Linked DNA regions of Caenorhabditis elegans. The protein of the gene in region 4 purifies or fractionates together with the protein of the main gene of each other region. This does not show direct contact. Each region holds a gene or a part of one and is shown on either strand. Other genes may lie near its edges. The genes, in order: agxt-1, T21H3.1, pgm-2 and Y48G10A.1.

Region 1 (8,384 bases), on a different chromosome or scaffold from region 4:
GTGAATAGTATTCTCGATAATCAATGTATGCCATGGACATGGTACATCGGAACTGAATTCATTTATTATTTGCTCTCTCCAATATTCCTTCTCACATTAAGGAAAGCGCCAAAGATCGGATTTGTGAGTTTTCTTTTTTTACAGAAGATATCTTTTCAAGCTTTGATAGTATGTTTCGTGAAGCTTGACTATTAGTTTAACATTTCGTAAAACCAAATGTTTGTATCTACAACTTTTCATAAACACTTCTTCAGATTTTGTGCTTCGTCGTAATTATGTTCTCAGCCGGTTTGAATGTAGAATCCATCGTTCGCAACAACTTCCCGCCAACCCAATTCCTTTGGAAGCAACCGGAAATGTTCAATCCAAATTTTATTCAACACCATCTTGAACTCTACATCAAACCACAATATCGCATTGGACCATATCTTATTGGAATTCTTCTTGGTTATCAATTGGCTAGATATCAACGAATTCCTGTGAAACCACAGCAAAGCAACAAATATATCAGTGAGTTTGAATTTATTTTTAGCTGTTAAAACAAATGTTCATCTTTCATGAACCAATATATTTTTTTAAATTAAAAACTAATTATTTTATTTTAAAAAAATTCTAAGCCTTCTTAATTCCAGTTTCAATGTGGTCAGTGGCACTTGTGGGAATCCTTTTCGGTTTGTACGGTCTCTACCCAGCTCTTCAAGGATGGGATTCAATTGCCTGGAGAGCATATCACTTGCTCTATGGAGCACTCCATCGTGACATTTTCTCAATTGGTATTGCATTCCTTATCTACATCTGTCATACTGGAATTGGTGGACCTGTCAATGTCTTCCTCTCCTCCAATTTCTTCTTACCATTGGCCAACTTGAGTTTCTCGGTTAGTTTTCAAATTTCTAATGTTAAAATAGGATTACTCTCATTCTTAAACTTCAAATTAAATCTTTCATAGAACCTTACTTCCTTGTATCACTACAATGTTTACGTTTAATTATTTTATTTTGATAGAATAGGAAGTGTTTTAATGTTTTGTTTTGATGAAGAGAAATACTTGGTTATTAGAAAAACCAAATTATTTTACAGTTTATTCAACCTGAAATCTTTCAAATTACAAGTACCACTTTGACAAATGAATGAAAATATGTGCTTCGAAAATTGAAAAGGCAAAATATTGGCTTTATAAAAATAAAATATTTTCAGGCCTACTTGTTCCACATGATTCCAGTGGTACTCACTTACATGCTCGTTCCCTTCCCAATATATTTCAATACTCAAATTCCACTCTTCATTCATTGTTTTGTTCAACTTCTCATTACATATTTCTTTGCCATAATATGCACAATGGTCAGTGAACTTCCAGCTCTGAATATCGAAAGGTTATTGCTTGCCTCTCCACCAAAAACTACACTCAAACCGAGTCCACCAACAGATTCGGAAATTCAATTAAAGCCTTCCGATAAGGCTTAATTTCTAATTGTTTTAATTTTTGACTCAAAAATTCATTTTCATCAGGCACGGGACATTTGAGGTAAATAGTGGGTGATCATTTCCTTGTCAACCCGAATTCATTACGAGTAGTCTCATTCATTTCTTAAATTGTTTCATTTCATTCCGCCATTCACTTTTTCATTTGTTAGCTCCTCTTTCATTTGCTTTACATTTCTTTTAGATTAGTTGAAATTTTTCTGTTCTTCTTTCTTGATGGTCTTTCAGTAATTGATTATTCCCCCGGTCATCGACTGTTTTTCCTTCGCTTCTTCTATTTTTATCATGTAAATAGAAATTCTTGTTTTTTGTTCATTCAAATTAAAACCCATAAAAACATTAAATAAATTTAAAATGTTCATACAAAACGCATACGAAATTACAATAAATCATAAATTAGCATGAAATCACAAATTGATGGATCTACGACTGATGGATCTACTTGCTGAAAATATAAATAATTTGATAAGGAAACGGATCAATTAAATTTTTGACCTTTTCTCTCCAATTGATTTCGACAAAAGTTCCACAACATTTTCGATTTTTGTCGAATTCGAGTTAATTCCAAACGTTCCGATTCTCCAGATTTTACCAACAGTTGCACCAAGTCCTCCAGCAATCTAAAATTAAAACAAGTTACGGTTTTCAAACTTCAAATTGGTGGATTTTCGAATTTACCTCCGTTCCATTTGTCATCATTTTTCCAGCAACATCTTTCCAGTCAACACCCTCCGGTACTTTCACAGTAGTCAAACATGGCAATCTCAATTTCTCATCCACTACAAATGGTTCCAATCCATGCTTTTTCAGAGTAGCATACAACACTTGAGCATTATCTTTATGTCTTTGGATTGATTCATCAATTCCTTCTTTTGCAATTGCAGAAAGTGCTGCACGAAGAGCATATACAGTGGAGATTGGAGCAGTGTGGTGATATCTGAAATTTTTCAATAAATTTCATCATTTCATAGTTTTTTCCAACCTTTTCAATTCTCCATCACAACCCCAATAGTTGCCCAATTCGATGGCATCAAAGTAGAACGAGGCGACGCGTTGTTTTCGGTTCCGGATTTTTTCCCTAAAAATGAAGAGGAATGCAACTATATGTGTTTTGTTTCTTATTCTTACATGGCTCGATCGGAGAATGAGATAGGCGCAAGTCCTGGTGGAGCGTTGAGAACTTTCTGGGTTGCCGAATAGACACAATCAACTTTCAGATCATCTGCTGCAAATGGAGTTCCACCGAGGGACGCCACCTGAAAATGAAAACTTTGATCATTAAACATCTATTTTCAATTTTGAGACTCGTTCGGCAAATTTCAATTTTACTACATTAAAAAACACCTTAAACTTTTCAGAAACAAAACCGTTAATTTTTGAAACATTGTAAGATTTATAAATAAATGGTGAGGATCGAGAAAGTTAAAAAAAACCACAAACCGTATCAACAAGGAACAGAGCACCATGCTCTCTGCAAGCATCTCCAATTGTTTCCAATGGTTGAGCAACTCCCGTTGAACTATCTCCCTGACAGACAAAAACCAAATTTGGTTTGTAATCAGCAATTGCCTTTCTGATATCCTCAACTGGAACTGCTTGCCCCTGCGGAGCAGTAATCTTCTTAACTTCGATTCCCATTCTATCAATTTTTAATTTGTAACAAGAATATTGATTTTAAAAACCTATTAGCCAAATCAGCAGCTCTTTGTCCCCAAAGTCCAATTTCTACTACAAGGAATTTGTCCCCGGGCTCGAGAAGATTAACCATCGCGCATTCCATTCCAGAATGACCTGAATATTAGATTTGATATTGAGAAAGTTGATATATGCACACTAACCAGTTCCACTGACAGCAAACGTATACTTATTGTCGGTTTTGAAGACATACTGAAGACCCAGACGAACATCTGCCATAATCTGAAATTAAAGCTTTATGAATTAGTTTTCGATTTACTATTTTTCCAACAAAACATAAAAAGATACCTGAACAAATTCTGGATGCAAGTGTCCTAACAAATTGCGAGATTGGGTCTCAGCAATCGAATCAGCCATGTTCGATGGTCCTGGTCCAAAAAGTTGCCGCGGTGGGACAACCATATCTTGCAGAAGAGCTTTTGGTGGAGCACGAGACGACATTGATGACTGGAAAAAAAGTAAAATACATAAATACTCGAAGAACATGGTAATCGATTTGGAAGTGATAATTTGAGAATATAATAACTAAAAGGTCGTTCAACACGTGGTTCTCAAAACAAATGTTATTAAAAACAAAACATTAACGAAAAACTGATCTTAAATTTAACTAAAATGTTTTCCATTTCGCAGTACTGACATGGAACTAATATGAAATGCGCTCTATTTGCATGTAGAATGGAGTAGAGACACAGAGAAACCAATTGGTCAAGAGGAGATTGAACGGTGTGTCCAAATGGTCAAGAATTGGTTTGATGTCTAGGGGAGAAGGGTTGAAGGGTCGAATGCCAAACGGCATACTAGATGGTTAGAAATTTTCCATAAATCAAAGTGGGTTTTTTTTTCACCAAATACTGTAAAAATCAAGTACATGATTTTAGAGTTTGAACTCGAAAGACATAATTTTCATGCTGTTAGATAATTTTTTTTAAGGAAAAAACCTTCAAAAACTTTTTTTAATGAACAATGGCATATAAATATAAAATAATTGCAGTAACTAAAAAGATTGTATCAATGAACAGTTTCATCAATGATAACACATATGTTGATGTATGATGACAATAAACTCTCAGAGGCGGTTCCAATTTGTGTACTCAATAAACCTATTATTTTTGAACCAATTGAACTCACCTTAATTCCAAATCCAAAAATCGAGACTGAAGGTCTTAGAAATCGCGTTGAAATCATATCTTCGAAATTAAATCAATTGAGGAAGAATATTGAGGTAGAGAAGAAAACTTGAGGAGGTTGTCCTGCAGGCGGCAAATATCTCTGTGACTCCTCAAAGTACATTGTTCTTTCATTTTCACTGACTGACTGACTGACTGAGGGGCTATTTTATCACAATGTATAAATGACCAGTCGATGGTATAAATGATAACGAGAAGACACCCAGAGATCGGTCAATTTTTAGAGAAGAGTTCAAAGAAACACTTGAAAGTGCACTGGGGAAAACCTCGTGGTTATTTTATAGTTTATGGAAATTGAGTGGAAAACAACACTTTTTTGCAATTTGGTTTGAGCATAATTTTTATGGATAGTTCATTGGCACATTTCCGTTAATCTAGAAAATAACGTTTCAAGATTTAGGAGATCATCCGAAAAAAACTAGTGGAATTTTTTAAATACACAGTTTAAAAATCAGTTAAAATTTTAATAAAGTGCGAACAATAAGCTATAATGGGAACTAAAGTGGTCTAATCAATGACGTGGAATTAGTCAGATGGCTACAAAAAAACATTAAAACATTTTTCAAAATTGTCTACCAAATAATGAAACTAGAAAATTTAAGGACTACCAACTTATCTTACTCAAAACAATACAAATCGAGAAAGATTACCAACTTCAAGAGAGTTTAATTTGAACTTTACCTCGAACAACGAGCAGATCCAGAGAAGTTTAGACTTCGGAATAAATTTTTTTTCTAGTTTCATTTCCATGAAAATAGCATTTCACGTCTACAGAAATTGATACGATGAATAAATTTAGAAATTAATATTTAAAAGTTCATTGGTTTGTGTTAACTTTGGAAAAATAATAAAGCTTTGAGATATTAACTTCTGAACATTTTCAAATTTAGCTTCTACATCTTATTCCTTGAATTTCGCCTAGCTTCGTCTGAAATCTCCTCACATTTTTCTTTACCCAAATCTATAAATGAGTTTTTCAGCCAATTCACTTGTATGCCTGGAGATACCTTGAGAATTCGGAAAGTACTGATTCGTGAAGAACACTTTCCAGATCACACGAGTTTATTGCACATTTTGAAATGTTTTGAACAATTGCACATTTTATTGATAAAAATAAGAAAACTGCTCAGGTTTTTCGAAATCGAGTTGGATTCAATTACAGGTCAACTCAAATTTGTGATGTCTCGTGATCTTTGAAGCTCTCCGGTTTCAGTGTCTGTTTTTGCTGTGAACACTATCTTTCTCTATCTTTTTTTTCTTCAGCTTCATCCTTTGAGCTTTTTCGTCTTCATTTCTTCATCTCCTCCCTCGCTTTTAACTTCTCACACTGGATCACAAGCGTGCCCTTCGATCCCGATCCTCTTGGCCGAATATCTTTACACACCGACTTGATGTCTGCGTCTCACCAATCATTTTGAATGTTTCGAGAGGATAGAGATAGTTGCTCATCGCCCGGGAGTCACAGCTGCCTCTTCCTGCTTCTCCTCCACCTCCTCTACATTCCAAAGCAAAAAGAGTTTGTATTATTGAAGAATCATGTTGTTTCTGCATCATTCTAGATCACTCGTCATATCTAACCACACTTTCAAACTTTCTTGCCCAACGCAAACCATTTTGAAAATGTGTTTCATTTGTTTGCCGAACAAAAATGCATCTAAAGAGCTGCCCCTACCTCTTGATGGATCATGCGAAAAAAAGGCGGGACGTTCAAACTGTTGACTCTTTTCTTTTTTCGTTTATCTTATCTCTCTCTCGTGTTGCTCTTTGTCTCATCTTATTGTAAATTGATTTTCGAAAAATTTCAGATATTCTAATCACATTTTCCAACATTTCAATGGTCGCTGCCACAGAAATGGATGGAGAATCTATAGTTGATATTAAAGTAAGGCATAATTGTAATGATAAAAAACGAGATTTAGAAATTTAAGTTTTTGATTGTGAAAATGAGTAATGAGTAATGAAATTAGGCATTGGAAAATATACTAAATTTTTGCAGTAGTTGCCTACTTAAAACGGCTTTCACACCAAAATTTCTTCAGAAAAGATTTTATAGAATTCGTTTTGTTTTCCAGCATGATCAAATTGAAGATGACGAGACAGAAGAAAAAGAACCTCCTGTAATGAAGTTGGATTTCGAAAAACTATTCAAAATGGCAGAAGATCCAGATCTTGAGGAATTGCTAAGATCACCATTGGATCAGGCTCTAATCAATTTAGAGTAAGATTTATTAATTAAAAAATCAAAATTGATTTTTCGACATTTTGTAAAAAAGGAAATCGTTCATACCATAAAATTTTCAGAGACGGAACTGAAATTCAAAAGCTCACATCAATTCGCACATTTCCTGACATTCTGGACACCTCCGACGGAGAAAAGTGCCTTCTAAAAATGCTACCAGCAATTCAAAAATGTTTGAAAATTGAAAAATCAAACCTAGACCTTCACTGTGAAGCTGCAGTTGTCTATAAGTCAATTATTCAAAATGAGGACCTCGTGAAAAAATTTCAGTGAGTATTAAAACATTCCACTACTTTAAAATAACAAGCTTTCTAGGGGAATCGTTGATCTTCTACTCGAGAATATTCTTCAAAATATTCAAAATCAAAAAGAGCATCGTAAGTATTTTCCAAGTATCGTATGTACATGTTTTTCCACCTTTCCCCTTCTATCCTCTATCCTAACCATTTCCAGACACTCAGGAAAAGGAAAAAATTGTTATAAAAGCTGGCAGTAGCATCAACAATCAAATGCATCATTGTATGTATTCTCAACTAACAATTTATTTGTTTTTAATAATACCTTTACCTTTTTACCTAATACTCTTTTGAATTACCATTTTAGACATTGACAAAACTATAAAAATTATAACATTAACAACTAAAAAAAACTTGCGCACTAAATAAATTATGTGTAAATTTTAAATTCATATTTTTCAGTGAGTGCCGCTGCTTGGTTAGAAACAATTGTTGAAGTTGCAGACAAATTGTCACTAAGCTCAATCAAATTATATGTAAGCATAAATATTAGATATCCCCTTCATTTAATTTTCAGGTGGTTCCTGTAATTCAAACACAAGCAGAACCTGTTCAGAGGGTACAAAGACGAATTATTGCCACTAAGATTATTCACAAGTTGGCATTGTTTTTACCTCCGAACGAGTGAGTTTGTTATTTGAAATTGTTTCATTTCGCTCTCATAATAGTCCTAACCTACCGGCTTTCTAAAATATATTTAACTTACAAAAAATGTAACTAGGCAATGAACGAATTAAAACATTTTAAGAATAAGAAAAGAACTGTGCCCAATTGTTACCACCTTGTGCAAAGATGCCAATTCAAATGTGAGAGTAGCAGTTGCTCAACGACTTTTTGTCATTGCAAATGCTCTTAAGTAAGTTGTTGGGGTTTTTTGTTTTAGTGTAAAATCATTTAACTTTCAGAAACTCGCACGATGTTGTGTCCTGTCTTTTGCCTTCATATGTACATTTATTAAATGATGAAGAAATGAATGTGAGAGAAGCTGCAATGAATAGTTTGACTGATGCATTCTCCTTGTTCACAAGAGGTTTTGTCAGAAAATAATCATTTCAATTATAATTCAAATTCAAATTCAGATGCACGAAAGCACACACTCTTCTCTGTTATCAAAAAGTTAACCGAAGAGGCGCTTGAGAAAAAGAATGAAGGTCTCGCAGTGATATCGAACAACTTTGGAAAATGGTCATGGGAGCTCAATGAGCTTCTCGATCAACTTGACAAATCATGGGTTCTGAATACATACTGCAAAATGGTGCAAATATCAGACGAACTATGTGAAGGCCCACAAAAGAATATTCGTAACGTATTGAAGAAGACGTGTTGTTTCAATTATCCATGTATGCTGACTATGTTCAAAAAACACGTGGATCGATTACTTCCATTTTTAGAGATGTTCTGTACAGATCATGGTGAGTTATTTGTCCGTGTGGTCGGAGTGTCATTACCCAATTAATATAATGAATATGCTGTCTTTTTATTTTT
Region 2 (7,085 bases), on a different chromosome or scaffold from region 4:
AATGCGGGAGAAGAGACGCAGACATCTCATCTGGTTTCGCATGGTTAAGAGTGTGCTGACGTCACATTTTTTGTAGATCAAACCGCGATGAGACTTTCTGACACCACGTGTGTGCGGCAAATCTAAAAATTTGCCGAACACGTCTGCTATCAAAGAATGTTCAACTGACACTATGGTTTTGCGTGTTTGAATTATTCACAGAAGATGTGGCAAAAAATAAAGCGGCCGACATCTTGTGAGTTCAGATTTTTTGGAACAAAATTATTAGTTTTAGTAAAAATTGAATTGTCCATTTTTTGCCGAATTCGGCAAACGGCAAAATCGGCAAATTTGCCAAACACTATATTGGATTTTTATCAAATTTCGATTAATCATCTGGTTATTGAGTTAGTGTATTCAGGGGTTGGTGACAATTGTCGTTCGTCAATTTTTTTGTCGACTAATTCGGCAAATCAGCAAATTGCCGATTTGCCAATTTTCCAACAATTTGCCGATTTGCCGTTTGCCGAACATAAACTTGCCGGAAGTTTTTAGAGAGAATTTATATAAGACGGCAACACCTGAAACTATGCCTATTTGCCGGTTTGTCGAATCGCCGGAAGTTTCAATTCCGGCAACTTACCGACTTGCCGACTTGCCGGAAAAAGGCGATTGCTCACCTCTGGCCCATTAGTTCCAATCGTCCAGAATGGACTCACAAGATTCCTGGCGCTTTATTTTTGTCGTGATTTTTTTTAATTAGTTAAACATATTTTGATAGCATTTCTGGTTTTTGAGTTATCTATAATCTTTTGAAAAATTTGAGAAATTATCAAAAAACTCTCGATTGAAATTTACTCGAATAACTGATTTGAATCGAGATATCAACTGTCAGACTATAACCTTTTTTTTCAGTCTGGCGACTTATCTCGTTTATTTGGTGGCGACTCAATACAGCCGGAAAAACCTGAAAAACTCGGAGAAATTTCACAGGCTTCCAGTTTTTCAAGTGGAAACAGTGAGACAGCTCTAGTCAAAAGTAAGAGTCAAAAGTAATACATGAATTCGATTTAAAAATTACAATTTTTACAGGCAACTCAACAGAACTGAGAACCTTACCACAGGAACGGGGATCCGGTTAATATGTGCCAAAAAAAATTGTGATCCAAAATTGTAATTTATTAGTGTTGTTTTTTTTCTCCACATTGTTTTCCTATCAAGTCTCAACTACGGGTGCTCGACTTCATTGACGTCTGTCTCATTCCCAGTTTTCTTTTGTGATAAATTAGTTAAAAAGAATTTGCAAATCAGTTGTCATTGCAGAAAAAACTAAAAATTTTCTGAATAAAAACTCACAAAAAATCAATCTTCAGGTGACTTACTGATGAAAATAAAATTTGTTGAAGATTTGTCTTTAAAGGTTGACTAGCGTCACGTGGTGTCAAAGTGTCCCATTTTAGTTTGATCTACGAAAAATGCGGGAGAAGAGACGGAGATTTTTCAACTGATTTCGCATGGTTGAGAGTATGCTGACGTCACATTTTCCTGGGCAAAAAATCCCGCATTTTTGTAGATCAAACCCTGATGGGACAGCCTGACGCCATGGGTAGCGTTTGCGCTAATTTTGCCCTAAATGGTCGAAAAACAGTCTTAATATATCAATTAAAACTATGAAAAAAATTTACAAAAAATTTCTAATTTTTTCATGATTTTATAAATTTTGAAAAAAAGAGCTGAATTATTTTTGAATTCCCGCACAAATGAATGACGTCATTTTTGGCATTTTTGCATTTTTGGGCAATAAATTTGATTTTTTCAATATTTTTCAAAAATTTTTCAATATTTTTTACAATGTTTTTCAGACATTTTTCGGCGCAGCAAATGAAAAAAATTTGCTGAAACTCCAAAATTGGCCTAAAATCAATAATTTAGCATTAAAAAAACGTGTTTTTTTGGGAAAAATGTCTGAAAATTTTGACAAATTATGCGTCAAATTATGAAACAAAGAAAAAGTAAAGAAAAAGCAGTCAATATTCCCAAAAAGTGTCAAAAAATGACGTCATTCACTTGCGCGGGAATTCAAAAAAAAAATTATATTTCCTGTTCGAATTTTAAAAAAATCATTAAAAATTTAAAAAATTTTTATACATTTTTTGACAGTTATATTTGTTATATTGAGACTGTATTCTATCATTTAGAATTTAAAAAAAACCCACCTGTGCAACTCCAATTTTAAGGTAAGCGGGGATAAAGTTGGCTTGACAACATTTTTTGGAAATTTAATTTTCTTAAAGTTTGCTGATCAAATCAAATATCAGCCTTTCAAAAACATTTCATTCGGAAATTTGATTATTTGATTTTTCAGGTAGAATTCACGGATTTTCGGCTTCCCTCATAAATTGAAATGGAAGAAATTGCCGAACTAGGCCATTTTGGCTCGGCCATATCTTGGGTAGATTTACGGCGCGTTGCGTGTCGCGGCTCGATTTTAGTTGTGAAACTAAATGCATTTGTCCGTGTGGAGTACAGGAATTCCCACGCGTTGGCGATTGTCAATGGAGCGCAAAAAATTCAACGAGGAAGGCCAGAACCCCGTGTAGAATTTTTTTTAACACCACTGAACATTCAAGTATCAAGAACTTTGTTCATCTCCTACAGTGTTAGTTTGTGGTTCGAGGAATCAAACGACCATTTAAACTACTTGCGTAATCCGGTTCGATTGAAAATTTGATAAAAGAGCACAAGTTAAGCGGTATCATTCATATCAACGACTTTTTTATAGGTTGTGTGATATTTGAAACGGAATTGGTGATAAGAAAACGGAAAGTTAATAAAGAGAAATCGAATAGCAGAGTATCGTCATTTTCCCACCTTTTCTCCCAGTAATCATGTTTTAAATGTTAATTCGAAATTTGCGGCAAATTAAGTTTCGAAGTGACGTCACACAGGCTTCACTTCGGTGACGTCACGTGTTTCTGAATAAGATGTGTCACGTTTTAAAACGATTTTCCAACTTCCATCTCATTTGTTAACTTTAAATTATTCTTTCAGTATGCAAGCCTTACTGCTTGCTGCAGTCCTTCTGCCACTGGCTTCGGCCTTTGTGCTACCAGAAGCCCCAAAAAATCCAGAGAACCTCGACGTCTATACCATCCCATACAACGACGCCACTGCTCGCAAGAAGATTCTCTTCGCAGCCGGCGCCGCCTACGGATCGAATCCACAACAGTGCCTCGACAAAGCGTTCACCGGTGCCTCAATCAGGAGAATCATTACGGCTCGCTGTGACGTCAACCCAGCCGACAAATGCGTCGGATACACCGCCGTCAGTCCACAGGACAAGGCGATTATTGTGGTGTTCCGTGGAACTAACAACAATGTGCAGCTTATTTTGGAAGGATTGGAGACTGTCTTCGAGTATCACGTAAGATTAAAATTTCGAGTACTCCGGAATAAATGAAGCATGTTTCAGACTCCATGGGCTGCTGGAGGTGTCGTCTCCCAGTACTTCAACGACGGATTTTTGAACATCTGGAACGCCGGACTCAAGGACGATTTTAACACTCTTGCCGCCCAAAACCCAGGATTCCAAGTTTGGGTAAGAATTCGTAAAAACTGATAAGAAAATGATTATTGATGGGGTTAAAGTAGACTGTGCTCCCGTGTTGTTGACAGCTATCGTAGTCTAGCAAAATATACTTTGCGAGTTCATGAAGCAAGTGGTTGTTGCATTTCTACAGTGTATTCCTACACTTGTGATATAAGTGAGTATACCCCCCAGGAAGACGCAGACGACATGAGCTGGGTTGGTTGAGATCTCGATCGAAGTCGGCTGCACGTGGTCCCAGGCTGTCTCATTAGGGTTTGATCTACAAAAAATGCGGGAAATTTTCGCCCAGAAAAATGTGACATCGACACGTTCTTAACCATTCGAAATCAGTTGAGAACTCTGCGTCTCTTCTCCCGCATTTTCTGTAGATCTACGTAGAACAAGCCGATATGAGACACTCTGACACCACGTGGGCTGCAGTGCAGCTACACAGTACGTCGCGCAAGCCTTGATGCCTGATAGGTGTAACAATAATGCTTCGTTAAATTTTTTTTTAAAATAAAATAAGAAGTCCAGATCAGAAACGCGGGAATGTCAGTGGTCAACCTCGAACCACAAAAATGTTATAGAAACTTAAAACCCATTCCACGTGGTGTCAGGCTGTCTCATTGCGCTTTGATCTACAAAAAATGCGGGAATTTTTCCCAGAAAAATTGTGACATCAGCACGCTCTTGAACATGCGGAATCCGATGAGATGTTTGCGTCTCCTCTCCCGCATTTTTTGAAGATCAAAGCAAAATGGGACTTTCTGACTCCACGTGTCATTCTTGTTGGCGCATGAGCAGGACCCAACCAGTGGATAAAAGATCCTTGTGGATCCATGTGATGATCCCGTGGTGACAATGGTTTCTTGAAAGTAGTCCTATCATTTCCCGGAATACTGTTTAGTGTAGCACCCAAGGTGGTCCACATAAGAAAACGCGGTCTCGAACATTGTCCGTTGCAAATTTATTTTCGTCTCCCAAGGCTCAAAATCATGGGATTCTGGCCTTCCTCATTGAATTTTTCGCGCTCCATTGACAACCGCCCGCCGGACAACGCGTGGGAAAGTCGTGTACTTACAAAACTTCAGGTCACCGGACACTCCCTCGGAGGAGCGATGGCCTCCCTTGCCGCCTCCTACATCACCTACAACAAGCTCTTCGACGCCTCGAAGCTTCAACTCGTCACCTACGGACAGCCACGTGTCGGAGACAAGGCCTACGCGGCCGCCGTCGATCGTGACGTCACGAACAAGTTCCGCGTCACCCACGCCCACGACCCGGTGCCACATCTTCCAAAGGAGAACATGCAAGGATTCACCCACCACAAGGCCGAGGTGTTCTACAAGGAGAAAATGACGAAGTACAACATTTGCGATGATATCGATGAGAGCGAATTCTGCTCCAACGGACAAGTTCTTCCAGACACTTCTATCAAGGTATAAATCGTCCAAAGTTCTTTACTTCACCAATACTTTTATTTTTTTAGGATCATCTTCACTACTTCGACGTTGATGTCAGCGACTTGGGCTACTCAAATTGTGCTAATGTCAAGAACTAACTTTTCAATGTTTTAAACAATAAAATAGTTCACAACTGATTCAGTGGTTCAGAGTTGAAGTGGTGGGCCTGCCTACGCGCCTGCCTCCCATATGTTCGCAGAGGTCCGCACCAGGAATGTGCGGCAAATTTGCCGAATTTACCGAATTCGCCGAGCTCGGCAAATTTCAAAACAGTAGATTTGCCGAATTTGCCGAGCACGATAAATTTCGAAATTTTCCGCACACATCAAAAATTTTTTAACAATACAATTTTGGCCAAAACTATTGATTTTGTCCCCAAAAATTTAGTAAAATGGCATAAAATTGAGTTGTTATTTTGATGCTTAAGCAGACACACTACACGGAAGTTATTCAGACACCAGATTTTTATTCAGAATTCAGTAGTTTCGGTGCTCCAAAAAACATCAAAAAATATCAAATTTTCGGAGTTAATTAAGCACGGCAAATTTGCCGAATTTGCCGTGCTCGGCAAATATTGGAAGAAGAGATTTGCAAAATTTGGCGAGCACGGCAAGTTTTGAGATTTGCCGCACACCCCTTTTCCGTACAGGTTTGAGGCAGGCGTCGGAGCATAAATAGCTAGTAATTCCCTTGATAACAAATGTGACAGCAATCTGAAGATGACGTGATGTTCGTCATATTTCCAAGCAAAGTTAAATGACAAATTGCCTCGGAGCAACAGTAATCCCAAAATCAAACAACAAAGTCACACTTGCAACCAGAACTTTTTTCACTTTTCACAGAGCTATTTAAGTTTGCAAATTTTCAATTACAATTGTATTTAATGTATTTGACATTCAAAATGCTTTTTATTTTCTCCGTTTTAATTTGCAAATCATTCTCCCACAGTTCAATACCATATTCCGATCAGCTCTCTCGGAATAAACTGATCTATGCAGCCATCTCCGCGTACGCTTCTCCTCCACAAAGTTGCATGAGCTTGGCGTTTCAAAATTTTCAAGTCAAACCTCAGATTACTGTAGCTTGCGACACACTTGATGATACATGTTCTGGATTTACTGGAGTCGATCACGAAAGTCAGGCGATTTTGGTAGCTTTTCGTGGAACTAATCGTAACGCACAGCTGCTCGTTGAAGCCGTAGAAACTGTGTTTGCAAACAATGTAAGTTAGTTTATGCAAAAGCTCTGTCTAGGTCAAATTTTCAGAAATCCTGGGTTTCCGGTGGGCACGTCTCCGAATACTTCAGCGATGCGTTTTTCAAAATATGGACTTCTGGAATGAAAGATGACGTCATCAGTCTGATGTCTAGATACCCAAGTTATCAAGTTTGGGTTCGTTAGCCTCGCACGTTCGATTTCCGAGAATAACGGGAAATTTACACCTGGGGAGTGCGGCAAATTTTCCAAATTTGCCGGACACTCCTGATAAACACGCAAGAGTTCTACTAGCGTCTCAAAGCGAATTTCGTATTCCGACTTCCGCATTTCTTGGAGATCAATAAACATGCTGTCCCATTACAGTTTGATCTGCCAAAAATGCGGGAATTTTTTGCCCAAAAATATGTGACGTCAGCACGTTCTTAACCATGTGATTCAGTTGAGAAATCTGCGTCTGAATTCCCGCAATTTTTGTAGATCAGCGTAGATCAAGCCGAAATGGGACAGCCTGACATCTCATGAGTACACAGGCCCATTACAATTTGATCTACTAAAAATGCGGGAATTTCTTCCACAGAAAATGTGACGTCACTACGTTCTTAACCATGCGAAATCAGTTGAGAACTGTGCGTCTCTTCTCCCGCACTTTTTGTAGATCAACGTAGATCAAACCGAGATGGGACAGCCTGACGCTGACAATTTTCAGGTCACCGGCCACTCTCTTGGTGGAGCTCTAGCCTCCCTTGCTGCCACATATCTCCGATATACCAGTCTCGTATCGGCTGATCAGCTTCTCCTCGTCACATTCGGCCAACCACGTACCGGGAACATGG
Region 3 (8,423 bases), on a different chromosome or scaffold from region 4:
TAAACAACATTTTCCTCCTTTAAAATAGGCAGAATCGAGGGCTGGTGGAAAACTATTCGTCGATTTCCTACTCAGCATACCGTCCAGTATGCGACTGATTTCTTTCTGGAAAAAGTATATGTTTTATTGATTCCACGATTTATTATTTACGTTGCTCTTGAGAAGTTCAACAACTTCATATCTTTTTGAAAGTGTAACAGCAAGCTCATAAAGGCGTTCTTTTGATGGTGAAGAAGACATTGATGAAACTGCGATTTTTCTCATAATTAATTGCACCTAAAATATAAATTTAGTTTTGAAAAACGTAAATTTCAGTATACTGCAATTTCGCTTCTCCTCGATTCGTGATCACAATCACGACTGACTTTCACATGGCCTGTCTCAGTCTTGATACGCACGGATCCGGGGCACTTTCTCGAGTTTTCCAGTGTAACGTTACATCTGAAATAAATTAATGAAATGTGTGACAAAAAATAAAATTTTTTCCTAGCGATAATTCACCTAGCCACAATGTCCCCATTTTTCAGTGTTTCTCTCGGACGATAGCTTTGATTGTTGAAAATGACCAATGGAGCTCCTCGTTTCGTCGAAATACTGAAATTGCATAGTTTCTATGTTTAATTGTTTTAGAAGTTAGAAGGCATACCAAAAATCTGAACTATTCTCGCTGATATATTCCGGTGCCATTTCAAGCACCCTCTTGGGCTATTGGCAATCGGTCTATAGTGCATCAGAGAACGTAACACGTGTGACTTGCTGGAATTTTATATTTTGATAGAGTTATTGATTAATAACAACCTATTTGTCAAAAACCAATCCGGATGGTATGGAGTCTCTTCGTCTTCAAACGGAGATTGATATGAATTGTGACCTAAAAATACAACGTCTGTTATTTCTATTTAATTATTAGTTAAGACCTACACAGAAGATTGAATTCACTGGTTTCCTGTAGATCGTGATCCATTTCTTCGGGAAATACAGCTGGATCAAAATCAAAAAATCTTTCAGTATTTGCCATGGAATCTGTTGTATCCAAGCTTGTTTCCTGAGTAGAATTGGCTATTGAATCGCATTCCGGGATATCGTCAGTGGATCTCGGCTCATCGAGCTCTCGAGAATTTGAAGGAAACTGCATATACGAATCAGACCGACGTGGTGATGCAGGTGGAGTAACCAGATCGATTGTTGCAGGAGTCGATTCACATACATTTGTAGTAGACGCTTTCGGATTTCTTTTCTTCTTTAGATCCCTGTCGAACGCTGAAAAATACTTTTCACTCTTCAATTAATCTTTAGACATCAATACTTGCCTCTAAAAAAGCGTTTGGCTCCGCTTGGATCACTCTCAGCATCAAGTTCTTCTTTTTCCGGGAAGGAAATGCTCATTTTCGATTAATATTAATTTTGATCGATTCGAAATCGATTGCAACCCGTTTTTGTCATCGAAAATTCTGAAAATATCCGTATTTAGCTCGAATAAAACTAATTAATTTCCATTAAAAATCCGTTTTTAATTGAATTCCGTTCGAAATTTCCTGTTGGAAAAAGAAATAAATAAATACGAAGAAGCGTGCGGCGCATTGCAAAAAGCCGTGCGGCGCATTGCGAAGGACTGTGCGGCGGGCTTGCGAAAAGGCGCGCAGCACATTGCCCTACTGAAAGCGTTCCTTACGAAAAAATCCCCTTACGAAAACGTACCCCCTCGATTAGAATAGAACAGTTTAGCAATTTCTAACAATTAATTAAACAAAATTTGGATGAAAAGTCTTTAAAATGTATCAATTCATTGTGCCGCAATTAATTTAGGCCAACATTAAATTTAAAAATTTTACATTTACCGCATCTTCTCGTTTGTCCGAGAGGACTACACCACTCGCTCCTAGCGAGACCTTCCACCGGCGAAAGTGCCTGCGCCTTTAAATTTTGAATCTATTTTTTTGTTTCTACGCAACGATTTTTCTTCTTTTTCTCTTATTTTTCTCTAATATTCACTATAAATATTTATTAATTTTCAGAAAAATGCAAGAAGACGACTCGGTGAAACCTTTTCAGACCGTCGGCGCTCACAGAGATCTCATTCATTGTGTATGTTGGCTTGATTTCGAAAAATTAGATAAAAACTGAAGATTTTTATTTCCAGGTTTCATTCGATCCTCATGGCCGACGAATGGCAACATGTGCCAGCGATATGACAATGGCGATTTGGGATCGAAAGCCAGACGGAAATTGGCGTAGATCTGCACACTGGAAGGTAGAAAAGAAATTTCAGAAAATAAAATAATTTTCCTCATTTCAGTGTCATGGTGGAGCAGTTTGGCGCGTTATTTGGGCTCATCCGGAATTTGGGCAGATTGTTGCGTAAGAAACTAGAAACTGTCACCCGAATATACTTTATTGATTGATTTTCAGCACCTGCTCCTACGACAGAACGATTGTAATTTGGGAGGAGCAAATTGTGAGATCAGAGAAAGATCTGAGTGAGTATAATTCGCTCTAAATATAATCCAAAACATTATGTATCTCTCAGAGCAAAAAGAATCCCAATGGATCCGAAGAACAATCATCTCCGATAATCGTTCAGACGTCACCGATATCTGCTTCTCCCCGCGCCATCTGGGTCTCATGATGGCATCATGCAACGTTCTCGGAACCGTCAGAATCTACGAAGCACCGGATATTGTGGACGCTTCTCGATGGAATCTTATTCACGAGCTTCAAGCGTTTCATACCCGATGTGGATGTGTCACATGGTCACTTTCTCGTATGCACCGCCCGTTGATTGCTGTTGGTTCGGATGAGAAGAAGGCAGAGAACAAGAAACGAGTTGTGATCTATGAGAATATTGATGGATTGAGGAAATGGCAGCGAATCAACTCATTAGTCTTCGATCTACCATGCCCGATTACTGATTTGAAGTAGGAAGAACACGCTCTCCTCGGAGCCGAATAATTATTACAGCGCGCTTGCCTTTCCATTGAAAATAGCAGATTTTTCAGTATTAAAAAATCCGCTCTTTGAATAATTTTTTGTCTAGAAATTCCAAAAAATAATCGAATTTTCTAAAATCCGATATTTATCGGATTTGTGTCTAAAAATTTCAAAAACAATCGTATTTTCTTGAAAAATCCGCAATTTTATCAATTTTTTGCCTGAAAATTTTAAAAATAATTGAAATGTTCTGAAAATTCCGCTATTTTAACAAAATTCAAAAAATATTTAAAATTTTCTTGAAAAATCCGCTATTTTAACAATTTTTTGTCTAAAAATTCCAACAAAAAAAATTGAATTTTCTGGAAAAGTCCGCAGTTTTATCAATTTTTTGTCTGAAAATTCCAAAAATTATTGGAATTTTCTTGAAAAATTCGCTATTTTAATAATTTTTGTCTAAAAATTTCAAAAAAAATCGAATTTTCTTGAAAAATCCGCTATTTTATCAATTTTTTGTCTGAAAATTTCAAAAAAAAATTTCCGCTATTTTAACTATAATATTTAAAATGTTCAGATTCTCGCCGATATCGATGGTGGATTCGCATCAATTAGCCGTTGCATCAGGCGATGTTCACGTCTACAACATCAAAGTGGCTCGTTCGGCGATTCTCGAAGAAGACGGTGTCGAGAATCCGATTCAGCTGGCGGATTACAATCTGATCAAGGTGGCACTGCTCGGGGATCATCGAAAAGCATGGAGGCTTCGATATAATCTCATGGGATCAGTCATCTCGTCGACGAGCTTGGATGGAACACTGAGATCCTGGAAATGTTGGGAAAAAATCAAAAAGAGTCAAAAATGAAATAAAATTGATTTTCAGCACTCTTCGTGAACCAATGGGTAAAGCTGAGTGAGATGAATGTCGACGACTACGTTCCATCGCCTGAAGAAGTTCGCGCCTTCATCTCATCGAAAACTACCGAACGTCTTCCATCACAACTCGAGAAAACCTATTTCTAACGATATTTTTCTCTATTTTTTCTCGCCGATCATTTTTTTTCCGAATGATTTCTTATCAAAGCGTGTATTATTATTTGTTATCATCATCTGAAAACTGAAAACCGAGAACATTATCACCGATTTTTTTTTGATGTTTAAGTATTTTATCAATCTTCTGTTTAATTTTCAGATTTTTCATGCTGATCGGTTTCTGCAAGAATTAAACATTCCACTTATCTAACTTATGTAATTTTCAACGGTTTTTGTGCCTAGAAATATTTTTTGGACGTTTTTGTTAATTCTTTTTGCATTCAACATTCACCTAAATTCGAAAATTAAATATTTACTGAAACCCGATACTGTCTTTTTCACAGTTTCCACAATACCTCCATCAATTATTGTTGATTTTATCTCTTTTCCAAATCTAGGGATAGTGGGTTACTCGCAGAGAAATAGAGAAACGGCAAGGTCATTTACCTGGCCTTTTCTCATCCACACATGTCGGAATAATTGTGGTATTAGTGTCCTTATCTGCAAAATTTCGATTTTTTAAAACTTTTGTTGTCTTTTCCACAATTTTATTGCAAAATTTAAGCACTTTCTAATTTTCAGAATGACTCTTGGATGTGCAAAGCTTGACAAGCAAGTTGCCGATTGGCTCGCTTGGGATAAGAATGATAAGAATCGTAATGAAATTCAAAAGCTGGTTGATGAGAAGAACGTTGATGCATTGAAAGCTCGTATGGATACTCGATTGGTTTTTGGAACTGCTGGTGAGAAGAAAATAATATTACACAGCTGCAGTGTGTAAACGGTGGAAGAAACGCAGCTATATTGGGACAAAGGGAGGAAGACCCGAAATTGTGTAGATTTACAGAGTGTGAATCTTCATTATTACGGGAATGCATATTGCGCAACTTATTTGACGCGCAAAATATCTCATAGCGAAAGCTACAATAATTCTTTTAATGGCTACTGTAGTCAATTTTCGAAACAATCTGTATCTGTCGCTATTCGAAAAACATTTATTCTCGAAAACCGAGCCCACACGTGGAGTCAGAAAGTCCCATTTCGCTTTGATCTACAAAAAATGCGGGAGAAGAGACGCAGAGTTCTTAGCCGAATTCGCATGGTTAAGAGCGTGCTGGCGCCACATTTTTCTGGTAAAAAATTCCCGCATTTTTTGTAGATCAAGCTATATTGGGACAGCCAGACACCAAGTGAGCCCATAAATCTACACAAGCGCTACACTAGTTTAAAGAATTACTGTAGTTTTCGCTACGAGATATTTTGCGCAATGCGCATTCTCAAAGATTTGTGTTCCCGTATCACACGGTCCCCACATCTCTGCGTCTCTCCACTGTCTACACTCTGAAGAAGCTGGGTGATATTAACAGGAGAACAGTAGAGATTCAAAAGTACAGCTCAAAATATAAACGTATTTTTTCCAGGTGTCCGTTCTCCAATGCAAGCTGGATTTGGACGCCTCAACGATCTTACAATCATCCAAATCACGCACGGATTCGCTCGACACATGCTGAACGTCTATGGACAACCGAAGAACGGAGTCGCCATCGGATTTGATGGACGTTACAACAGTCGACGTTTCGCAGAGCTCTCGGCGAACGTCTTTGTTCGTAACAATATTCCAGTTTATCTTTTCTCTGAAGTCTCTCCAACTCCTGTTGTCTCGTGGGCAACGATTAAGCTGGGATGTGATGCTGGACTTATTATTACTGCATCACATAATCCAAAGGAAGACAATGGATATAAGGCGTACTGGAGCAATGGAGCTCAGGTAAATAGATCAATATTTAAGATTTAATTCTTTTTAAGATTAAAAAAGAAAAGGTTTTTTTTGCAGATCATTGGACCACATGACACGGAAATTGTTAGAATCAAAGAGGCCGAGCCACAGCCGAGAGATGAGTACTGGGACTTGAGTGAACTCAAATCTTCGCCACTTTTCCATTCAGCTGATGTTGTAATTGACCCGTATTTTGAAGTTGAGAAATCGTTGAACTTCACTAGGTTTGTAGAAATTTTAAAAAATCGTTTAAAAAAAGGTAAATCCAATAATATTTTCAGAGAAATCAATGGCTCAACTCCGCTGAAATTCACGTATTCCGCGTTCCATGGAATCGGCTATCACTACACAAAACGAATGTTCGCCGAATTTGGATTCCCAGCTTCATCGTTCATTTCGGTGGCCGAGCAACAAGATCCAAACCCAGATTTTCCAACAATTCCATTCCCAAATCCAGAAGAAGGACGAAAAGTGCTCACGCTGGCGATGGAAACTGCCGATAAAAATGGATCGACAGTTATTTTAGCCAACGATCCAGACGCCGACAGAATTCAAATGGCCGAGAAGCAGAAAGAGTAAGTTTTTTGAATTTCCAAAATATATATTTTAAAAAATTTTATTTTCAAAAAAATTCAATTTTCAGCGGCGAATGGCGTGTGTTCACTGGTAATGAGATGGGCGCTCTCATCACTTGGTGGATTTGGACAAACTGGAGAAAAGCGAATCCGAATGCTGATGCATCAAAAGTATACATTCTGAATAGTGCTGTGTCCTCACAAATTGTCAAGACAATTGCTGATGCAGAAGGTGAAATTTAATTTCGAAAGAGAAAAATTTGCTTTTTGATGAAAAAGATACAATTTTTTCAAAAAAATGCTGAAATTAAACCGTGCGGCAATGTTGCAAAACCGCGTACCGCGGAATTGCGTGTCCGCGGCACGCCATTTCGCAATTTCGCCGCATGGTTTTAGTTTTTTCCTAATTTTTAAAAACAATCTTGCAAGATTTTGATAAATACGAAAAAGAAGCCGAGTTTTTTTTTTGAAAAACATTGAAAAACGAAAATTTTCGATTTTCCGGAAAATCTAATTATATTTTTTAAAAATCAGAAAATTAACAATAATATTCGAATTTTTATCCAAGTTTTGTAAATTTTGATGAAAAACTACATAAAGAAACCTACAATTTTCTTTTAAAACTTTTTTTAAAAATCGAGAATCGAAAGAAAAACTTTCGTTTTTCGATTTTAGTTGAAAAAAAAATTCGAATTTTTTTCGTTCTACCGACTAAAAATCAACATTTTTGAAGAATTTTAAGTAATTTTTGCCAAAAAAAAAGCAGCAGCCCTGTTTAGAATATAAAATATTAAAATTACAATTAACAAAAAAAAACTATAAAATTCAGGCTTCAAAAACGAGACCACCCTGACCGGATTCAAATGGATGGGAAATCGAGCCGAGGAGCTCCGTGCCGATGGAAATCAGGTCATTCTGGCGTGGGAAGAATCGATCGGATACATGCCAGGGCATACCATGGACAAGGACGGCGTGTCCGCTGCCGCAGTTTTCGCCGAAATCGCCGCTTTCCTTCACGCGGAGGGAAAATCGTTGCAAGACCAGCTGTACGCTCTCTACAATCGATATGGCTTCCATTTGGTCAGATCCACTTATTGGATGGTACCGGCTCCGGAGGTCACCAAGAAGCTCTTCAGCACATTGAGAGCCGATCTGAAGTTCCCGACGAAAATCGGAGAAGCCGAAGTGGCATCCGTGAGAGACTTGACGATCGGATACGACAACTCAAAGCCCGACAATAAGCCCGTTCTTCCACTCTCGACTTCCTCGGAAATGGTGACTTTCTTCCTTAAAACTGGAAGTGTCACTACTCTCCGAGCATCTGGTACTGAGCCAAAAATCAAGTACTATATTGAACTCATCACTGCTCCGGGAAAAACGCAGAATGATCTGGAAAGTGTGATTTCTGAGATGGATCAACTCGAGAAGGATGTCGTCGCTACACTTTTGAGACCACAGCAATTTGGACTGATTCCAAGAAAATAAAAATTTTTGTCTTGAATAAGAATCAAAAAATGTTTATAAATCTATTTGCATTCCGATATATTGTAGTCTTCTTCTATTGTGATAATTAATTTTTCAATTTATTTCCCCAATAAATTACTGAACGTTCTAAAAGCTGTACGCAAAACCAAACGAAGACATTAAAGTGTGTAAACTTTCAATTTTATTGAAGCATTTTGAGAAAAAATGGATAAGAAAAATGCCTAATAGGTTTACTTAATTTAAAATCATCTATTTAAGACAGAATGGGGGGTCAAACGACACAATTTAGTACCCGAATACTATTATTCACAGTAAAAGTTAATTAATCATTAGTTGACAGGAGGAGGCATTGGTGTGTTAAATATTTTTCACACACAAAACTTGGAATTTAGAGCGGTCCAAGATCCGTTCGACGACTCTTTCGCTTGATGGGAGGAACACCGTCTGCTTCCGACGTTGGAGCTGCACCGATCACGAATGTTGAGTTGGAAGGAGACGGTTGCGAATCGTCCAACACAATAGTGGCAGAATTGAACGAATCTTTGACGAAGGTGGCATTGTTCATTGCCTCGTTTTCAATGTCTTCATCTTCTTCTGTTAGACGGGTATCATCGTCACATTTGATTGG
Region 4 (6,296 bases):
GAAGGAATTTCGCAATGAAACTGCTCAAAAATTTTTTATGGCGGTTCAAAATTTTGAAAAAAAATTACACTGATTTTAGCTAAAATCACGAATTTTTCTCTTTTTTTCGTGCCACATCCATCCGAAGTTGTCTTTTTTGGAATTACCGTCCTTTATTACATATATTGGTAGTTTATCTCATTTAATTTCGTCGATTAAAGTACATTTATCGGCGATAGGTAACCAAAAATCATCGAAATTGGTTACCTATCGGCTTTGAATGTACTTTAATCGACGAAATTAAATGAGATAAAATACCAATATATGCAATAAAGTACGATAATTCCAAAAAAAGCTAACTTCGGATGGACGTGACACGGAAAAATGGGAAAAAATCGTGATTTTAGCTAAAATCAGTGTAATTTTATCAAAATTTTGAACCCCCATAAAAAATTTTTGAAAAATTTTTGAGCAGTATCATTACGAAATTCGTTTATTTGAGCTCATTTTGAGTCTATACGTTCAAAATCGTCCGAACCGTTAGTCCTCCTTTAAAGGTGTACTCCACTCTGTGGGGAAATTGCTTTAAAACACGCATATGGGGTCACAATGACCGAATATCATGATTAAAATATTCAAAAAATTTCTCTAGATTTTATATGATTTTTTGAAAATTCGGAAAAAAGCCCGTACCGCGAGCTTATCGGCCTTAAGCAAATAGGCCTTGTGATGAGCATGATCTCCAAGAAAAGCACACGCTCCACACAAAACTCTCTCTTTTCTGTAGAAAAGTGTCGGAGACTTGACGGATTCCTTCTGCTTCAACGCGTAACCGCATCCCGGATAGGTGCACGCGAAGAATTGGCTGTGCGGAGCCACTTGCAAGCACATTGAGCACGTTGCGATGGTATCCGAGTACGCCGAGCACTCTTCAACGGGATTTTCGTCCACACTTTCTTGATAATTTGTGATATCCGGCAGACTCGACGTTTCGCCGTCCGGCATTCGCTCGAAATTCTCGATTGTGTGAGAGTTTCGCACTGAAAATCGTGAATTTCATATTAATTTTATCATTTTTCATCGGAAAAACTTACTCATTGTACAAATTTGATCCGTTAGTTGATCGATTATTTCCTGAAACTACATTTTTCGTGAGATTTTTAGGTAAAAATTGAATAAAAACGCTGAAAATAATTTTTAAAGTCGATTTTATCGGGAAAAAACCAAGAAAAACTCTGAAAATCGGCGGAAAAACAAGAAAAAATGGGAAAATTAATTAATTCGAAAATTTTAAACTTAGCAAGCCGTTCTCTGCGTCTTCACTCTCTCGCGCGTGCCAATGGAGCGCGTTTGCACTATTTTTTTTTTAATTTGAGGGGGTACGTTTTCGTAAGGGGATTTTTTCGTAAGGAACGCTTTCAGTAGGGTAATGTGCGGCGCGCCTTTTCGCAAGCCCGCCGCACAGTCCTTCGCAATGCGCCGCACGGCTTTTTGCAATGCGCCGCACGCTTCTTCGTATTTATTTATTTTTCCAACAGGAAATTTCGAACGGAATTCAATTAAAAACGGATTTTTAATGGAAATTAATTAGTTTTATTCGAGCTAAATACGGATATTTTCAGAATTTTCGATGACAAAAACGGGTTTCAATCGATTTCGAATCGATCAAAATTAATATTAATCGAAAATGAGCGTTTCCTTCCCGGAAAAAGAAGAACTTGATGCTGAGAGTGATCCAGGCGGAGCCAAACGATTAAAATGATAGAAGTGATTTTTTATTCAGTCGAAATGGAAAATAAAACTGCAAACAAAAGTTAATTCGATTAAATTAAGTAAGAAAAATCATGGCGAAATTTGGATAACCTGAGTATGGAAAATTGTTTCTATAATCCAATGGCACAGAGGTAAACAAAGAGATCAGTGATAGCATTTCGGAATTTCCATAAAAGGGAAAAGTTTCTCATTAAAAGCACTGAAACCGGTATAATTCAAAAACACTGAAGTACAGAAATCGGGGTTTTTGTATAATGGCACAGCGGTTGTTCGATTTCCGGATCGTCTCTTCAAGTCTAGGATCAATGATTTTGATAGTTGAATGGTCTTTTGAATCACTCCTCGCAGGTTTTGATAGTCGTTGTGATGATACATTCTCTGGAAAACAAAACAAATCGATGTTATATACCTATTTGAGAACTTAAAAAACTACAAAAAGAAACTTGCCTTCAGCTTGGAAAATTGCTGCTCACTCGGGTTGTTTGTGAACGCTGAAAAATACTTTTCACTCTTCAATTAATCTTTAGACATCAATAATACTTGCCTCTAAAAAAGCGTTTGGCTCCGCTTGGATCACTCTCAGCATCAAGTTCTTCTTTTTTCCGGGAAGGAAACGCTCATTTTCGATTAATATTAATTTTGATCGATTCGAAATCGATTGAAACCCGTTTTTGTCATCGAAAATTCTGAAAATATCCGTATTTAGCTCGAATAAAACTATTTAATTTCCATTAAAAATCCGTTTTTAATTGAATTCCGTTCGAAATTTCCTGTTGGAAAAATAAATAAATAAATACGAAGAAGCGTGCGGCGCATTGCAAAAAGCCGTGCGGCGCATTGCGAAGGACTGTGCGGCGGGCTTGCGAAAAGGCGCGCCGCACATTGCCCTACTGAAAGCGTTCCTTACGAAAAAATCCCCTTACGAAAACGTACCCCCTCTTTAATTTCGCGAAAAATAGTTTTTTGCCGAAAATAGAGTTAATTAGGCTAAAAAGCTGTTTTACAATCAATTTTGTTAAAGAAAAACCGCAAAAAACCTGAAAATTGACGAAAAAAAGCCAAAAAAAAAAAAAATTTTGCTTTTTAGTTCTACGCAGGAAAAGTGCGGCGATGGGTTTAAAACTAGAGAAATATTAGAAATCGTTAAATTTAATAGTAGAAAATTACAAAAAACCTAGATTTTCTGTGGAAAATACACGAAAAACAACGAAAAACTTTGGGAATTAAATTAAAAATTCGAAATCTAGCAAATCGTTCTCTACGTCTCCACTCTCTACCGCGTGGCGATGGAGCGCGTTTGCTTTTTACTGATTTTAATTAATTTTAATTAATTGAATTTCAGCGTATTTTCGCTGAATTTCTAGTGTTTTCCCGATAAAAACAAATCGAAATTCAACGTTTCCACTAATTTCAAGCTTTTTTCCTCTATTTTCAGGAAGTATACGCAAAAATCTGTATTTTTCTCTGACGCCTCACTCGGCAATTTTCCACAATTTCTTATCAATTTTGTCTCTTGAACAGTCAAAAAATATCGATTTTTCAGAGAAAATGGCTGCCACTTTGGTTTCGAGCAATAGAAGCTTCAAAGGACGGCAATTTGTGTACAAACATGCCAGGTTTGATGAAAAAAATTGAGAAAAAATATATAAATTTAAAAATTTAAATTATTTTCAGCTCGACAACTCAATGTGAAATGACATTTGGAGTGTATATTCCGGATCACAAGCCAGACGAGAAGCTTCCAGCGCTTTTTTACCTTTCCGGCCTCACCTGCACCCACGCGAATTTCATGGAAAAGTCGGGATTCCAGCAATTTGCCTCTAAGCACCGTCTCGTCGTTGTTCACCCGGATACATCGCCACGTGGAGTCGATGTGGACGGCGATTCGGAAAGTTGGGATTTCGGAAAGGGAGCCGGATTTTATGTGAATGCTACTGTCGAGAAATGGGCGAAAAACTATCGAATGTACGATTATATTGTGAAGGAGCTGTTGGAAGAGGTGGTGCCCTCCGTTGCGCCGATTGATTTGGCGAAAATTGGTGAGAAATTCGAGAATTCTCTGTGAAAATCGACAGATTCAAGTTGGTTGAGGCTCAGAGACTACAAACTACACAACTTGGGAAGCCTCACTCAAATTTGCCAGGCGCAGTGCTATGAAAAATGTCGAAAAACTGAACAAATTCGGAGTTTTTCGACTAAAATTCTTATTTTTTCGCTCAAAAACTTCAATTTTCATGGTTGAGGCTGATGAATTTTTGTAGTTTGTAGTGTGAGCCTCAACCAAAATCCGGAATTTTTTGGTGAGGCTCATGTATTTTTGTAGTTTGTAGTGTGCGCCTCAACCAAGAATCGACCATTTTTGGTGAGGCTAATGAATTTTGTAGTTTGTAGTTAATAGCCTCAACCAAGAATCGGAACTTTTTTGGTGAGGCTGATAAATTTTGTAGTTTGTAGTGTGAATTTCAACCTAAATTTACTTGAAATTCATGTTTTTAAACTAAAATTCCAATTTTTCAATAATTATTAATGATTTTTACAAAAAAAAAACTTTTAAAAAAAATCACAAATTTCACACAAATTGAAAAAAAAACCAATTTTTCAGGAATCTTCGGTCACTCAATGGGCGGCCACGGAGCTCTAACAATCGGTCTCAGGAATTCATCGAAATTTCAATCAATTTCCGCATTTGCACCAATTTGCAACCCAATCACCGTTCCATGGGGCCAAAAAGCACTAACCGGATACCTGGGTGACGAGGACAAATCCACGTGGAATCAATATGACGCTTCTGAAGTACTAAAAGCCTATTCCGGCCCGAAACGCGAGATTCTCGTCGATCAAGGTGCGGCCGACAATTTCCTGGCTCAACTCAAACCAGAAACGCTGAAATCGAAGGAAAACGCGGAGATTGTGGTCAGAATGCAAGCGGAATTCGATCATTCGTATTATTTTATCGCAAGCTTCATGGCTGATCATTTCGAACATCATGCAAAGATTTTGAATAAGATTTAATTGAGGAAATATATTTATTTATATTTATTTTATTTTCGTCACTTATTTAAATTTATTTAAATTTCAATGTTTTTACACTTTTTCAAGAAAAATTTCAGATTTTGTTCGAGTTAAATATTGGTCTTATGTTATTTTAACTCCCAACATTCGTGTAATAAATAAATTATTTTTAGACGCAGACAGGTTAAGTGTCTTAACACAGTACAGTGTAGTCTTCGGAAACGGAATGAGGACGATGATAATGATAAAATAATTGATGTTTTCTATTTTTTGTTCATATTGTGTGTATTTTTTTAATTCTAAATTAATACTATTAGTAAGAAAATTTTAATGAACAAAAAATATTTATTAGAACAAGAAAACAAATTAAAAATTGAGAAAAAGTGGCAAATGCTGCGGTTTTTTTTGGAAAAATACACGTAAAGCGTCACAAAATAAAATAAAAAATATATTTACAAGTTTGAATTTTCTAGAAAATTTTTAGGAAAAAGCGAGAGAAAACCGGAATTTTCGAGGTTTCAATTGGAGGGAAATGGCTCCCGGGAGCAAGAAAAGTGGGCGGGGTTTGATTAGTAAGGATTTTGAAAGAAAATTAAATTTTTAATACAAAAAAAATTTTTTTGGAAAATTTTTTAAAAATTCAAAACAAAATTTTTTTTTTCGAAAAATGTAATTTTTCCAAAATTTGTTTGAGACTTTTTATAAAGCAAGCTAAACAGGTTTTAATTGATTTTTCAACACCAAATGATCGGCGCCACGTATTGGAAGTGGATGACGTCGGTAGAATGAGATGGCAGAGCTTATCGATCGGAATAGGGGACCTTCTCCTGTAAGAATAGGGGAATTTTTAGGAGACATTTTAGTTTTTTTTTGGACCAAATATTGGAGAATATGGTTTAAAAAAAGAGTTTTGTAAAAAAATTCTGAAAAAAAAAATGTTTTGAAAAAAAATTATTTTTTCAAAATTTCCAAAAAAAAATTTTTTTTTCTGAAAATTTTTCTAATTTATAAAAAAATCCTCTTAAATGTTCCTGTACCTTTAAAATAGTCAAAACAATTTTCAAAAAATTGTAGTTTGTAGTGTAAGAGCCTCAACCAATTTTATTCGGCATTTTAATGCATTAATTAATTAATTAATTATGACGAATAAAATTGGACGTTTTTTTTTTTCAAAATTCTATGATTTTTTTGAAATTTTTGAAATTTCACGGTTGAATTCTGAGGTAGATTACAAGTTTTTCGAATTTTTCATTTCAAAATCTGATTTTCCGTTGAAGCTCTCAGTGCAAACTATAATTATATGGAAGTATACTGGAGTATACATATTAGGTTTTTCGTAGAGTTACAGAATTTTGAAGTCTAAATTTGAAGGATTATGATGAAAAGTGATATATATTGTATTGTTATTCTTTAAAAAATGTTTAAAAAATTTTCTCAAATTTTTCAAAAAAAAAAAACTTTTTTTTTGAAAAATTCGAAAAAAAATGTTTTTTTCCAAATGTTTTTCGTTAAAAAATCGATAAAAACTCACC

The links.
Region 1: the proteins of Y48G10A.1 (region 4) and agxt-1 fractionate together in Caenorhabditis elegans (co-fractionation; one large-scale study listed by BioGRID). This does not show direct contact.
Region 2: the proteins of Y48G10A.1 (region 4) and T21H3.1 fractionate together in Caenorhabditis elegans (co-fractionation; one large-scale study listed by BioGRID). This does not show direct contact.
Region 3: the proteins of Y48G10A.1 (region 4) and pgm-2 fractionate together in Caenorhabditis elegans (co-fractionation; one large-scale study listed by BioGRID). This does not show direct contact.

What each region holds. Positions count from the first base shown.
Region 1 is NC_003280.10:8,842,301-8,850,684, reverse strand, and holds agxt-1 (Alanine--glyoxylate aminotransferase), read right to left. Parts: upstream 5,088-8,384; 5' UTR 5,046-5,087; intron 4,456-5,045; 5' UTR 4,363-4,455; coding exon 4,306-4,362; intron 3,625-4,305; coding exon 3,466-3,624; intron 3,400-3,465; coding exon 3,321-3,399; intron 3,274-3,320; coding exon 3,165-3,273; intron 3,122-3,164; coding exon 2,923-3,121; intron 2,739-2,922; coding exon 2,611-2,738; intron 2,561-2,610; coding exon 2,465-2,560; intron 2,420-2,464; coding exon 2,161-2,419; intron 2,103-2,160; coding exon 1,978-2,102; intron 1,928-1,977; coding exon 1,921-1,927; 3' UTR 1,783-1,920; downstream 1-1,782. Other genes in the region: oac-46 (Acyltransferase 3 domain-containing protein), read left to right, coding at 1-123, 255-510, 633-877, 1,198-1,464; F46C5.6 (Serine/threonine-protein phosphatase 4 regulatory subunit 4), read left to right, coding at 6,199-6,246, 6,437-6,582, 6,666-6,872, 6,919-6,980, 7,057-7,122, 7,302-7,375, 7,417-7,523, 7,648-7,755 and 2 more.
Region 2 is NC_003283.11:1,173,694-1,180,778, forward strand, and holds T21H3.1 (Fungal lipase-type domain-containing protein), read left to right. Parts: upstream 1-3,030; 5' UTR 3,031-3,031; coding exon 3,032-3,403; intron 3,404-3,451; coding exon 3,452-3,577; intron 3,578-4,662; coding exon 4,663-5,010; intron 5,011-5,060; coding exon 5,061-5,132; 3' UTR 5,133-5,171; downstream 5,172-7,085. Other genes in the region: ptr-16 (SSD domain-containing protein), read left to right, coding at 895-1,018, 1,072-1,121; F25A2.1 (Fungal lipase-type domain-containing protein), read left to right, coding at 5,936-6,256, 6,301-6,426, 6,959-7,085.
Region 3 is NC_003281.10:13,294,838-13,303,260, forward strand, and holds pgm-2 (Phosphoglucomutase-2), read left to right. Parts: upstream 1-4,540; 5' UTR 4,541-4,541; coding exon 4,542-4,701; intron 4,702-5,379; coding exon 5,380-5,726; intron 5,727-5,792; coding exon 5,793-5,959; intron 5,960-6,016; coding exon 6,017-6,310; intron 6,311-6,378; coding exon 6,379-6,542; intron 6,543-7,139; coding exon 7,140-7,795; 3' UTR 7,796-7,923; downstream 7,924-8,423. Other genes in the region: npp-18 (Nucleoporin SEH1), read left to right, coding at 2,020-2,085, 2,141-2,251, 2,297-2,358, 2,410-2,477, 2,528-2,915, 3,503-3,759, 3,810-3,949; Kinesin-like protein klp-19, read right to left, coding at 8,184-8,423.
Region 4 is NC_003279.8:13,486,292-13,492,587, forward strand, and holds Y48G10A.1 (S-formylglutathione hydrolase), read left to right. Parts: upstream 1-3,295; 5' UTR 3,296-3,300; coding exon 3,301-3,368; intron 3,369-3,426; coding exon 3,427-3,791; intron 3,792-4,354; coding exon 4,355-4,764; 3' UTR 4,765-4,829; downstream 4,830-6,296. Other genes in the region: Y48G10A.2 (E3 ubiquitin-protein ligase UBR7), read right to left, coding at 673-1,019, 1,074-1,077; Protein soem-1, read right to left, coding at 5,476-5,591, 6,296-6,296.